Xenopus tropicalis: one gene and its partners. The protein of the gene in region 1 interacts with the protein of each later gene in a biochemical or structural test. Links are inferred from orthologs where the notes say so. Each region holds a gene or a part of one and is shown on either strand. Other genes may lie near its edges.

What was found. The genes of interacting proteins can lie anywhere in the genome.
Region 2: the proteins of ocrl (region 1) and rab8a form a complex in vitro, tested with the Homo sapiens proteins (2 studies listed by BioGRID and IntAct, with this or other methods). The link is inferred for Xenopus tropicalis from reciprocal best matches to the Homo sapiens genes OCRL and RAB8A.
Region 3: the proteins of ocrl (region 1) and rab31 form a complex in vitro, tested with the Homo sapiens proteins (2 studies listed by BioGRID and IntAct, with this or other methods). The link is inferred for Xenopus tropicalis from reciprocal best matches to the Homo sapiens genes OCRL and RAB31.
Region 4: the proteins of ocrl (region 1) and rab5a form a complex in vitro, tested with the Homo sapiens proteins (2 studies listed by BioGRID and IntAct, with this or other methods). The link is inferred for Xenopus tropicalis from reciprocal best matches to the Homo sapiens genes OCRL and RAB5A.

Annotation. Positions count from the first base shown.
Region 1 is NC_030684.2:52,492,709-52,496,258, forward strand, and holds part of ocrl (inositol polyphosphate 5-phosphatase OCRL), read right to left. Parts: intron 1,916-3,550; coding exon 1,728-1,915; intron 762-1,727; coding exon 650-761; intron 73-649; coding exon 1-72. UniProt on the Homo sapiens protein: Catalyzes the hydrolysis of the 5-position phosphate of phosphatidylinositol 4,5-bisphosphate (PtdIns(4,5)P2) and phosphatidylinositol-3,4,5-bisphosphate (PtdIns(3,4,5)P3), with the greatest catalytic activity towards PtdIns(4,5)P2.
Region 2 is NC_030677.2:104,435,890-104,439,439, forward strand, and holds part of rab8a (ras-related protein Rab-8A), read left to right. Parts: intron 1-84; coding exon 85-174; intron 175-1,411; coding exon 1,412-1,477; intron 1,478-3,364; coding exon 3,365-3,415; intron 3,416-3,550. UniProt on the Homo sapiens protein: The small GTPases Rab are key regulators of intracellular membrane trafficking, from the formation of transport vesicles to their fusion with membranes.
Region 3 is NC_030682.2:104,653,617-104,657,166, forward strand, and holds part of rab31 (ras-related protein Rab-31), read left to right. Parts: intron 1-1,001; coding exon 1,002-1,083; intron 1,084-1,867; coding exon 1,868-1,939; intron 1,940-3,148; coding exon 3,149-3,255; intron 3,256-3,550. UniProt on the Homo sapiens protein: The small GTPases Rab are key regulators of intracellular membrane trafficking, from the formation of transport vesicles to their fusion with membranes.
Region 4 is NC_030682.2:45,578,550-45,582,099, forward strand, and holds part of rab5a (ras-related protein Rab-5A), read left to right. Parts: intron 1-1,467; 5' UTR 1,468-1,561; coding exon 1,562-1,727; intron 1,728-3,550. UniProt on the Homo sapiens protein: The small GTPases Rab are key regulators of intracellular membrane trafficking, from the formation of transport vesicles to their fusion with membranes.

The DNA.
Region 1 (3,550 bases):
TGTGGGAATAAAATTGATAGTGCCTTCCGTAAAATCAGAAAAGACGTTTTTCATCTCTCTTTGGATATTCAACTAAATGAAATGAAGGCACTAATTAAGAAATGTATTGAAAATAAAGCCATTATTCTTTACACAGTAGAACAAATAATTGCATGAGAATTACAAACCTTATTAGATATATACATGAAAAATGGGATAGCACACACAGATGGAGCAAACTTTCATCACATGGTGCACCATTTAACAGAATTTTGTTTATATGCGGGGGAAAAAAAAATATCTATTGATTATAATCCTTTCATGTAATTCACTTTCACTAAGCAACTCAACAAACTAAGCAACACAGACACAATAGGGTCAATGTTACCATGAGTCAATAAACCTATGTTAAATATGAATATTTTTGGAGTGTGGCAAGAAATAAGAGTACCCAGAAGAATGCCACACATACACAAGGGAAACAAGAACTCCTTGCTGGTAGTGGCATGGACAGAAGGGAATTTAGGACCCAGCACTACAAAGCAGCAGTGCTACCCACTGTGCCACAATGTTGCCAAAGTACTTGACTCTGTGGAACATAGTTAGCGAATGTTTTCCATCTGTACACAGTTAGTGTGCAGATTGATTACTCAACCCCTCCTCTCTTTACCTGGTCATATTTCAACAGAGTCTGAATGTCATTTTTCGCAATCAAGCTTTTGACCTCTGCAGCATCAAATTTGCACAGACGGTAGTTTAAGTCTCCCAGCCAAATAACAACGCTGCAAAAGAAAATATAGTTAAAGCAATAAAGTATAGAAAAACATTGCTGTGAGAAAATGTTAACAAGACCATAAAGGTGGCCATACACGGGCCGACTATAGCTGCCGATATCGGTCCCTTGGACCGATTCGGCAGCTAATCGGCCCGTGTATGGGGAGAGCAGAGCGGCCTGGCTGACCGAGATCTGGCCTGAAATTGGCCAGATCTCGATCGGCCAGGTTAGAAAATCTGGTCAGATCGGGGACCGCATCGGCTCGTTGATGCGGTCCCCGATCCGACTGCCCCATTGCCGCCCACATAATCCGATCGTTTGGCCCCAGGGCCAAACGATCAGATTATTTTTTTTTAACCTAAATGCTCCCCGATATCGCCCCCACCCGTAGGTGGGGATATCGGGGGAAGATCCGCTCGCTTGGCGACATCGCCAAGCGAGCGGATCTGCTCGTGTATGACCACCTTAAATGTGAATGCACTGAGCTGCTTATCTGGCAAATGGGTGTCTGTAATGAGAAATTATACAGAGATAAGGCCTTCATTTAGTAGAGTCTTGCCATGTTCCAATCTAAAGCCCCAGAAGGCTAGAGTGTCGAGAAAGAGTGACTGCAATCTGTTAAACTGCAGGACAACCTTCAAATATGTCTTATGAGGTGACCCATACTCAGAGTGAAGATGGCCAGGGAGTTAGGCCAAAACATTAGCCAGAAAAGGATAAAAATATGCATTGTTGCCATGCCATATATTTCTGCATGCTCTTACAAACATTTAGAACAGATTTTATGTCCTGAAATAGAAAATGATCGGTGCTTATTTGCACCCCAGGTTACTAAGAATAGTTGTTCCTGGTGTATATGAACAATTTCTGCACTACTTTCCTTTCACTTACACTGCAGAGAATAGTACCCTGATCAAAATTTTTTTTTTTTTTTTTTTTAAAGCAGCACACTTATAGCTACAGTGGAACTTACTCATGTTTCATTATATTTGAAATAGGTATGTTCTGGTCTGGAACAGTAAAGTTTAGACGGGCACAGATATCTTTGTAGTCTTGGTTTCTCCTCTCAAAGTCCTCCACGTGGGCAGCCAGATGAGAGTTAACAAAACAGAAGGAGGTGTTGTGGAAAACAAATCTAACGGCAACACCTCCCTTGTTACCCTAAAAGTGAGCAGAAGGTAAGGATAAATATATACATGAATAGAACACGTACAGAGTTTATAAGGTTTGTGTTTAAGGAGTTGTGATGAAGTGAATTCCTCTAAAAAGTTTTGTTTGTTAATCCCTAAATGTTAATTAACTTTGCTGGTAAGCAATCTAAGCAAATAGCTAATGTCTATAGAGCTTGTCTATGTGTTAAATTCAAAACTTTGCTATAGTATTAATTCAGGCTAATTTTCTAATTTAGGTCAGTTTTTCTTTGTGCCTTCGATGCACTGTGTTTTAAGTGGTGCGGAAACAACCGTGTATTAAAAGCTGTGCTTGCCACTTGTGCATACAGAAGTACTTACGGAGAGCTCCCAGACCAGCCACTTCCTAAAGGAGGGCAAGCCTCTTTGAATGATAGGGTAGATACTCACCACCTGGTGGCAGCACAGAATGGTCTTTGGGCTATAAAAGGATGCTAACAGATTTTTTTGGCATTTAGCTCTAGAGTTCTAAGATTGTGCTTGCAGGGTTACTGTTTTACAGTACTGTGTACTACTGATGAAAAAGGTGTACTGCAACTTTACAAATACATTTTGTTTTTTGTGCATTTGCCTAAAATAAAGGACACATTTCTGTCTGGTTACTGAACACACACCCAGTGACAGGAGTATCATAGTTAAAAAAAAATGTGGCATAGCAATAGTATTTCCCAAATGAAAGGAGTTGGCAGTTAGCATGATCATCACGCCTTGCTGTCAGACATTAGGATGAAAAACCCACAATGGCCCAGGGTGATAAGAGAAATGAAATTGCCAAATTCAAATAGCATTGCTGCTGCTGACAGAAGTGCAGGAACCTTTTGTATGTGTAGATAAAGCAGTGTCTAGAGACTTACTTTGTGTACGCAAATATATATGACTAACATTTAAATGAAAAGTAAGAAGTTTACTTCCTGGCCAAAAAAGTACATTTTAAATATTCAGTTCTATTAAAAGTGCTTGTATCTGGTAAATCCTCCTTGCATGGTCTATAAAGAACACGCTGACTACCAACCTGTATACTATTAAACTGATTTACTTGCCAACTTTAAGTAATAGTTAAGGCTTTACAGCTATAGGAGATGAATCGCTTGCTTGTGTGTGTTCCCTCTAATGAAAAAATATGAAAGTCCCCAACAATGTAAACTATGCCTGCATACTGTACAGACAAGTACACAATGTGGCAGCATTTAATCATTTTCAGTAAATACTCAAACTGCTAATAGAGTAGATAGGATTTTAATTTACTACTCTAAGTAGCAGTAATTAAGTAGTTTAAAATATAAAGATTTTTCCATGTTAAGAGACTTGGAAATTGGTTCTCTGGCTCTAAAGCACAAGTAGTATTATTCACTGGACCCTAACCATCCAGGCAGAACAAATACTTCAAAAAGAAACTGTGATCCTTGCTACTGCTGTTGAAACTTTCATTCATCCCTTGGTTTGGGTAATTCTGGTCAGGTGCATATATTTAATGGCAGCATTTATTGCTGCTATATCTTCTATCAGACAACTGGAAAATCAATGCATAAGACTATAATGTAGAGCATGAGGGCTCCCCTAAACATGAGGTTTGTAATAGACAAGCTATGTTAATGAGAGTAGTGCA
Region 2 (3,550 bases), on another chromosome or scaffold:
AAAACTAATGTTTGATACCATCATACTATTCTGACTGACAAGTTCTCGATGCAAATATAAACCTTTACACTCTTTGCCTTCCAGCATGCATCCTCTGATGTTGAGAAAATGATCCTAGGAAACAAATGTGATGTGAATGAAAAGCGACAAGTTTCCAAAGAGAAGGGTGAAAAGGTAAGAGTTATTTAACAGTTTTGGTGTTCTGATATCTGAGCTTAAAACCCATTAAGCTGTGAATAGGTAAACGAGCTATGAGGTCCTGTTTGGGTACATTTAAAAATATATGAAAAATAAGTTTCCAAATGCTTTATAACAATAACCAATCTTTAGCCCTTTTAAGTAGAAGAAAACTCTGAGCATTACTCTGCCAGGGCATAAAAATAGTGCATATCCACTCGCCAATCATCCCCCCCCCAAAAAAATATATATATATTATATATATATATATATATATATATATATATATATATATATAATTTATTTATTTGGCTGGTGTCACATGTGCTTAATGTAAGTGCTCCTGTAGTCCAAATTAGACTTGACATATTAAAGGAAGAATGAAGAGAGGAATGATGTTGTCAGTGGGATATATGTGCAAGGATATTCAGGGCAGGGTCATGTTAATACATGTTAACAGTTTTGCATAAAATAAATATGGTGTTGGGCAATGGGAAAGGCTGAGCAATTGTTTCTCAGTTTCCTTGGACTTTAATTTAAGTATTAACCTCAGGAAAATAGAATCTGGTGCATTTTTTTGTTCATATAGTTTAGAATATTACCCAGTATGTAGTAAGGTGAATATTGAAAGAATGAGGCTAAAGGATAGAGACATAAGAATGTGGTGCATTTGTTTAAAATATTTAGAGAAAATATAGAAGCATATCCATTACCAATTTTTTTTTTTCTGCCTCAAATAACTTCAATAGCCAGCACAAAACAGCATGCACTCGTCGGACTCCAGGACAGCGGATAAAAATTCAAAAAAGCTTTATTAAGGATAAAAACCTAACGGTTAGGTTTTTATCCTTAATAAAGCTTTTTTGAAATTTTATCCGCTGTCCTGGAGTCCGATGAGTGCATGCTGTTTTGTGCTGGCTATTGAAGTTGAATCTCCCCATGCTGCGGGTCTGGGGCATGGCACCCGGGCCACCAAAAGGAAGTGGTGAGTGAGCATCCTGCATTTTGAACTTACATATGAGCATAAATTCCCCAGAACAAAGAGAGAAAAAAGTGATAAGCGAAAGGTTTGCGGCATAAGCACCCGAACCTACTAATTAACTGGGTGAGCGCGAGCGCTAATTGAAATATAAATCAGTTTTTTTTTATCTGTAGTGGGAAGGACTGTGAGCCCCCGAACAAGCAAATAGTACAGTGCCTCAAATAACTAGCAATATCACTGTTTGTATTTCAGCTGGCCCTTGAATATGGAATTAAGTTCATGGAGACAAGTGCAAAGGCAAATATCAATGTGGAAAATGTAAGTAGACTGAACGTGCTTAATTCAGTAAGCGGGGAGAGTAATGTTCATTGGTAGACACCCTTAAAGGAACAGTAACACCAAAAAAATTCAAGTGTATGTACTGCTGCTCTGCACTGGTACAACTGGTGAGTTTGCCTCAGAAACACTACTATGGTTTATATAAAGAATGCAGCTGTGTAGCCATGGGGGCAGCCATTCAAAGGAGAAAAGGCACAGGCACTTAGCAGATAACAGAAACACTATTGTATTCTACAGAGCTTATCCGTTATCTGCTATGTAACCTGTGCCTTTTCTCCTTTTTTCCAGCTTGAATGGCTGCCCCCATGGCTACACAGCAGCTTATTTATATAAACTATAGTAGAGTTACTGTAGCAAACACACAACTTTTACCAGTGCAGGGCAACAGTACATTATATTTCTTTTACTTTAAAACTCTTAAATTTTTTGGTGTTACTGTTCCCTTAACAATCAAAACAGGTTAAAGTGAAGAGTGGTCAGCAAACAATATAGTCATAGGTTTTCTATAGTCAAAAAGGCAGTGGGTGTTTTATAGAAGTCCGAGCATTTTTCTGCAACTTTCCATATTCTTTCGTATCGGCAAAAAAAAAAGAAAAATCTGTAGTGCTGTGTAGTGAGAAAAAACCACGCAACATGGTACTGTACCCTGTGCCTGATGGCTCTTCATTGATGCAATCATTACCCAGCACTATAGGACAACCAATGGGGCACCAGAAAACGCCGGGATATTTTTTGGGGTAGAATGTTAACTCCCAATATTTATAACAACCCTTCCATATGGCCTTTTTGTTGTCTGTTTTGCCTTTTTAACCCTTTGTGCAATGGACTTAGTAACAGTTCCACATGTCAAAATAGAGCCCTGAAACATAGAATCTATAGTGTTGGTATGATACTTTTATGCGGACACAATAGTAGTTCCAAAATGGAGGCCCAAAGCTGCATCTAAGTGGGTCCAGGTTATGGTAAGATTTGTGGAATACCTATGCAAGTGTATGTATGAATATGAGTTTAGGGGGCCGTAACCAGAAATAATAACCTATATGTGTCTGATCTTTGTGTGTTGTGATTTATGTATGTATTTATTCCTGGAGAATCTAAAATAAATTTTTGTATGTTTTTAAGAAACCTCCACTTTTACTTCATGTTTGGGGTCAGTGTTTTGCCAGTGTTTTCATCTTTCTATATAGAGATACAAAGGGGCACATTTACTAACCCACGAACGGGCCGAATGCGTCCGATTGCGTTTTTTCCGTAATGATCGGTATTTTGCAATTTTTCTGAAAATTGACGCAACTTTTTCATAGCCATTCCGAATGTTGCGCAAAATGTTGCGATTTTTTCGTAGCCTTACGACTTGCGCGAAAAGTCGCGACTTTTTCGCAGCTTTCGCGCCGAGTACGAAAGATTCAGATTCATTCAAGCTTCAGCATGGTGACTTTTCTTGGGCCAGGTTGGAGCTGCAGGGTGCCATTGAGTCCTATGGGAGGCTTCCAAAATCATGCTAAGTCTGAAAGTTTCGCCCGCCGCTTACGAGCGCTCAATACGAAAAAGTCGCGACAAGATACGAGCGAATCGTAATGGCTACGAAAAACTCTCGTTTTTTCGCGCAAGTCGTAATGGTTACGAAAAAGTTGCGACAATTTCCGAAAAGTCGTAAAGGCGACTAAAAAATCGCAAAAAATACGAAAAAGTCGCAAAATGTTCGTTTTCCAGTCGGAATTTTTCCAATTCGAATTCGTGTCTTAGTAAATCAGCCCCAAAGAGTGTTTATTGTTGTCTAGTACTTGTACTATATAGGCAAGAGATTAAAGGAATCACCCACTCATAGTATTGCTTTTGATATCAAGTTCTTCTATCTTTTCACAGGCATTTTTTACATTGGCAAGAGACATCAAAGCAAAAATGGATAAGAGGATGGTAAGTATAAGTATTTAATGGCTGCTTTGTGCTCCTGTGCCAGATATTGGTACTAAAAAGCAGGTATTTAACACTTAATTTCCCACACTGGTCTGGGTTTCATAGCTTGTTCTTCCCTTTATTCTAATGAGGGTT
Region 3 (3,550 bases), on another chromosome or scaffold:
AAATCATTTATACCATACATGCTGTGAATGTCTTTATTAGGAGTGGTAAATAGCAAACATCCACAGTTGCTTGCATTTGTTTTCCTGTTTGCCACTTCCAACTAAAATGCCCCAAGAGATACATAGAATTATTTAAGTTTACTCACAATTATTTACCAGTTGTACAAAGTGCTGGGTTAGGCATAGTCCATATAGAAATACCAAATGCAGGCTGCGCTGTATTCATGGAAAGGTCTTTGCATCTGGAGTACAAAGACCTTTCCATGAATACAGCGCAGCCTGCATTTGGTATTTCTATATTGACGATAACAATGTTGGCTCTTTAAGTTTTCCAGGAGCAGCTTTTTGTCACCCCAGGTAACTTCAGGGGTGCTGCTGCCATGAAGTGAGTTGAAAAACTCACCTCAGACAAGTTATAAGAAACTGCACCAGCCTATGAAAACGCTACCTAAGCACTGTGCTGGCATCTCAATACCTTTGATCATTTGCCACTTGGTGTTCTGTGCATTCGCAGTAGATTAGACCTGCGTGCACAAACACAGATTTTCCCAAGTAACTCTTGGGATGCCAGTAGAAAGGTAAGTAAAATGCTGGTGCAGCATTTAGGGAGGTTTTTCCACAGCAATCTATTTCACCCCCCAGTGAAATACACTTTACATGTCCCATAAGTACAGATCCACCAGTGGGATTAGTAAATGAGGCCTACAGCTTTTAATGTCTGTGATATGGTCCAGGGGTTTTTATTCCATAATATTTACAACTGGGGTAGTAGCAATGTGGAAAAGTTACATTGATCAGAAGATTAATGTGTCGTCCACCGGCTCTCTAATGTGCCTAGTTATTTATAAAGCTAATTGGTTGCTATGAGTTACCCTACGTACAAATTTGCTCATAGAAAAAAAATACTATTATACTGATATTTGCCCCCTTTTTTGATTACAACCTAAAACAATTTTCTGTTTTCTCCACCATAAAAAAACGATCCTTTTTCTCTCACACAGGGCTTCATTTATGACGAAGACTGTTCCTTCTGGAAATGAGCTGCATAAATTTTTGATTTGGGATACTGCTGGTCAAGAGCGTGTAAGTATGTAAACGTTTGTATGGGAAAGTTATTTGACTTTGTTTATTAGTGTAATAGCATATAAAGCTATCTATTGATAGCATTATAGCAAAAAGAAATAAAAATTGTTGAAAAATATATTCTGCATATTCATATAGATATAGATGGATATAGAAATCCACATATTCTGCCATTACAGCACTTCTGTAATTTGGAGCACTGTGCCAAACGTCTATTAAAAAATGGTGAAATTAAAAAAAACCTGATAGATTGTATTCTGACCAATACAGACATAGAAGATCTGGAAAAGAAGCAGCAATAAGAATTTTGAGCTTAAAATGTACTGTTAAATAGTTTCTTCCCATGTTTCTGCGCTTTATGCATAATGGGTTTCTAGATAACAGATCCAATCTTTGCTTCTTGACAGATGTTGGGGATAGACATAACATTGTACCACTGGGTAGAGGGATACTGGAGGAATGATCTTTATTTAGGTTAGGGTGCTGGAAGATTAGGATAGATTTCAAAGTGTCCAAAGTGTGGGGAACTCAAAGGTAGACTTCAAACAACAAATGGCTGGGGCCCAGAGAGGCTGATCTTAAAAGGGCTATAGAGAGAATACATGTGAAATATAAAGGGTATATTATATCACCTACTGCAATTTTTATTAGGGCATAGTGTGTCATCCTGATGTATATCGCAAGAATATTAAAAAGTAATTAAAGATTGTTTTAAATTGTTTAATTTTACTGTGATCCTTATTTTTTTATATGTTTTAACGCAAACAGTAATATGTAATTCTAGTTTCATTCCCTGGCACCAATGTACTACAGAGGCTCTGCTGCTGCAGTTATCGTATATGACATCACAAAGCAGGTTGGTTAATGAATATAATAGTGTATACAGTAATGGCGTTAAATACCCCAATACCCAGCTGCCCGTACACCCCTAGCATCATAGTTGATTTTGAAGTCGATGGCTACCCCTGCATGTGCCACTTGCCACCTTACTCTATGACGGAAACATTCCTGCACCCTGAAGCCTGTAGCTAAGGGTTTAGAGATGGAGGAACCTTCATATGTAAAAATCCAGGCTGGAAAACTCTTGTGAAGAGCTTGTGAATATCAAGGTGTGGCCTGACAGGGTTTAGGCTAATTGCACATTTGTCACTATTTTATACACCAGTGAAAAACTTGATCGACTTCCTTAACCTTGTACGTGTGTGTGATGTTGATAGGCATAGATCTGCACACACACAGCAGATTTTAGAAAGTCCAAGATCAGTTCTGGCTGATCCTATGCTTGTCAATACACGGATACGAGAGACAGAAAGCAGCTGATTGGATTTTAGTAGTGCCAATGCTGAGTTTTAAAGTAAAGGAGCCACAGCAGGGCAGAAAATTAATGAAACTAAACAACAGAAGGTCAAATACGGGCCTACAAGAAAGCAATGCACGTGGGAGGACAGGGCAGAACATTAAGGTAACAAGGCAATAGGATACCAGAACGCAGAACCATAGGAAGGACTGGGTAAGGCTGAAAGGCAAGACACTGCAGGGCATTATTGACCCACTATACATTACAGTTTTCCTGCTGAATTGGTCTTAGCCTTAGGGAAACACCAGAGGTGATGTAGTTTAATGGTATCAATCTTTATAGCTATAAAGAAACCTTGAGAGTTATCTCTGCAATGGAGAGATCAATTTAGAGTCCAGTTTGCCCCGCCCAGTAATGCTTCCTCTGGTTTATTTTTAGGGGGTTATAACATAGTGGGCTATAGGAGATAATAAGAAAAGTTATGGCAAAGAAAATCCAAAAGACCATGGCTGATAAAGTAGGGAGAAGGTGTCAGCTGAAACAGCACCTTTATAGAATCTAAGGGAATAAAGCAAAAAGAAAATGATTATACATTTACAGAATAATTTCCATTTACATATTAAATTACAACCCCCCACATCCTCACTACAGCTTTTGGCTTTGATTTCCTTCATTGACAGGGTCCCACTATTAGTAAATATAAAAAGGAATGTTGAAAATTCTATGTGGTGGAAACACTTTTATCTTCTTTATTATGTTGGTAAACAGGATACCTTTCATACACTAAAGAAATGGGTAAAAGAATTAAAAGAACATGGACCAGAGAACATTGTTATGGCCATTGCTGGAAACAAATGTGACCTGTCTGACACTAGGTAATTAAATCAATATAACTTTGTTTTTTCAGTTACATTGTACATTATATACATAATATATAAAAATGTCAGTGTATTAATGTAACATTCCCATGTGAAAAACAAACTATGGCTGTATTTATTTTTTTGCAGAGACTTCTCTTTGCTTTATTTGAAATGTATGGAGAACTTATGTTTTTTAATTGCAGTGGGCTGTTGTGCATCTACCACAGAATTTATTAACAATTTAATGTCCGTTGGGTCAACGTAAAAATTAAAATTAAAAATTGTGAATCCATTTAATGAGAAGTGGACA
Region 4 (3,550 bases), on another chromosome or scaffold:
CATTCTCCTGTGTTTAGACCAAGTGTTAACTTGTGTTGCTCTTTTGCACATAAGTACACTGTACAATATAATTTAATTTGATTGTCTGTGTTTTAGGCATGGATTGTACATCTGGATGCCCTGAGGGCCCTCAAAGTGCTTTTCTTGGCCACCTGTCTGCCCAGTGGCTCAACAGGCTTAAAGGAGAACTGGAGCTTGCTAAAAAAAAGTAGGCTAGAAATGCTACACATTATATTTTGAGGTTCTGTATCAGCTCAAGGCAACCACAGCCTTTTAGCAGTGAAGATCTGTGAATCCGAAGTTGTCCCCAGTAGCTCCCCATCTTCTTTTCTGCTGATTCTCTGCACATGCTCTGTGCTGCTGTCACTTACTGAGCTTAGGGACCCACTCACATTATACTGTATGTAGAGAATATAATAGTCACAATTTAAAGACTGATTAGTAAATAATTAAAATTCTCATCACATGGCAGCTCAGAAACCAGTGCAGTGAATATCAGAATTTAATAGTCAGCCCGGTAGCATCACCCTATATGACAGACAAACCTTATTTTCTGTTTGATAATTTGCTACAATCCCCAAGTTTAGCTTGTCAGCAGTTGCTCACTGATTTTTTTTTTTAGGAGTGTCTGTAAAACTGCACATGCTCAAAGATGGTGATTTGCATTTGTCTGAATCATTACTGTTGTATAAGTTATTAAAATTTAGGCTTGTGCAGTATTATAAAATATGGCATTTCTACCCACATTTGTTTTTACTTTTTCTCTAAGGTGGCCATACATAGCGTGTATATGGGCCCCCCGGTGGGCTTATTCAACTGATATTTCTCCAAAAATTAGCTACATGTCATTTCGGCTGGTTTAATTTTACTGTCTGATAAGGACCGTATTGGTTTGTTGCTGCGGTCCTCATCTGACTGCACTGTAGGCCCATCTGTATATTGAGAAACCTTTGAAAAAGTAGGTCAGATTTTTAAACCCCACAGATGCAACTGCTGAAGCCATAAGGGGTTCCACAGAGAATTGTCTGCCTATTGGCCTATTGTCCACAAATATGCATATTGTATACATTTTCTGGACTAACTCTTCATTACCAATATCTTCTATAGCTTCCCAGTCAGTGGTAAGAATTTGCTTACTACATTTTAAGACATGGGATGCTGGTATCTTTGGGTATTTGTAGCCTTTAAGGAGGTTATGTAATAAAAAGTATAATTACCTGTTATTGTCTGCTGTGTGTTACTGAACCTGGGTAACCCTTTTTCCCCTCTCTTTCATATGTACTGTTATCCATTTTTCTCTGTTGGTGGATGAATGTTTTCATTTTACTCTGTTGGTGGATAAATGTTTTAGTTAGTGTGTTTTTGGTTTTGTTATAACGGAGTAGCACTCAATAAGGTTTCTAAAATCAGTCATTTATTTGGATGTTTGTATATTAATACACACTGTATTATGTTCTCATTTAATAGATTGCCAGAAGGATAAGTGAGCATCCAACCCACCCTTTGCTTATTGGGCTGCAGCCGACTTTGTAATCATCAGACGTTTTGCCTACAATCAAACATGGCAAACCGAGGCGGAGCTACCAGACCGAATGGACCGAATGCAGGAAATAAAATCTGTCAGTTTAAACTTGTCCTTTTAGGAGAATCCGCAGTTGGAAAGTCTAGTCTAGTGCTTCGCTTCGTAAAGGGACAGTTTCACGAATTCCAAGAGAGCACAATTGGAGGTCAGAGAAATATTGCAAAGTATTACAGCTGTATTTAAAAATGTAATCAAAACATCACAAATATATACATTATATATTGAATGGTACCCCAAATTATTAGTCACCAAGCAGTTCCATGACCATTTAAAATAATGAGGCCACAGGCAGGGTCCTGGAACTCTGAGGTGACTTTATACTTTACAATAGAAAGTACTTTATTAACAATATAGTGGGGATGCATGAATTCAGGATTCGGCATTTTCCAGCAGGATTCGGCCTAATCCATGCCTCTGGCCATACTTAGAACACGTTGTTCTCTATCCCCTTCTTCATCTCCGTTTGCATATGGAAATTTTAGGATTCAGATTCGGTCCAGTATTCGGCTGAATCTTTCACAAAGGATTTGGGGTTCAGCCAAATCCTTATAATGGATTTAGTGCACAGGTTTCCCTAAATGAAATTGAAGTTTAAAACACTGTTTAACCCTTTCTGTTCAACTGGACTGTCTCTTAAAACTGTAACAGGAGCCAGGTCTATAAATCAGCTTTAATTAGCTGGCTTGCAACATTGTTTCTGTAGTCCGAGCCAGGAGTGCTTTTAACTGCAATTACATGTGCAAATACTGTAAACCCACTGAAATCTATAAATGTTAAGTCGCTCATGATTGTATATGCTTTTATCATGCAAAAAATAGTTTTTGTGGGGAGGATGCCTTTAAGGCTAGAGTCATATGAGTGATTAGGTCATTTGGTGTGGCCTAGCTGCTTAGGTGAGGGCTGGGCAGGTACACTGCAGGCTCACTGCTGACATTGCAGAACTGCACACATCATTTGTTGAATGAGCTGCTGAGTATCCAATTACCTTAAATCAATCGTTAATCTGATATCTAGAGCTATAGGGCACCAGCCAACATAGTTGTGTGTGAGAGGGTGATATGTCTTTGCCTTACTTGTGTAAATTCTACTAAAGGGTATATAAGCTTAAAAACAGATATTTATGTAAATGTATTCATAATACTTCTCTGAGAACTCATGAAATTTACTTTCACTTTTCTGAGATATTGGCAGTTTTAGACGCTTCGGCTCAGCAGCTCCCTTTAAAGGCCAAATGTGTCGTAACAAACCTGTCTATGCATTAGATTTCCTTTAATACTGTGATTTATAACAATTTGTCTGTATGACTCCCATTGCTGTCATTTGGTAACACTGGACTGGTTTAATTCCTGATCAGATGGAAAACTTCAGAGGAAAATGTAACGTTGCTTTTCTCTGTTTTGCACACACTTTATGTTGCTCTTTATTATGTTTAGAATATCAGGATCTGGAGTTAGAGCCAGATTACATTTTACCACCCATGTGCCCAAGTAACCAAGAATATAGATAGCAGTTTACATAATAGGCTTATCATTATACAGGTATGGGGCCTGTTATCCAGAATGCTTGGGACCTGGGGTTTTCTGGATAAGGGATTGTTCCGTAATTTGGATCTCCATAATTTAAGTCTGCTAAAAATCCTTTAAATATTGAATAAACCCAATAGGATTGTTTTGCCTCCATTAATTATCTTAAATATCTTAATTAGGATCAAGTACAAGGTAATGTTTTATTATTAGAGAAAAAATGGAAATCACTTTTAAAAATTATAATTATTTACTTACAATGGAGTCTGTGGGAGACAGGCTTTCCGTAATTTGGAACTTTCTGCTACCAGCTGCAGTTCTGCAACTCTCGCCATTTCCCTGCAGCTGGAAGGCCACAGGCTGTGGAAGTCTTTTGGTAATATTTAAAATGAACTATAGAGGGGCTGTTTCTGTGATATTACTACACTGAATTTTGGTCCTTTTT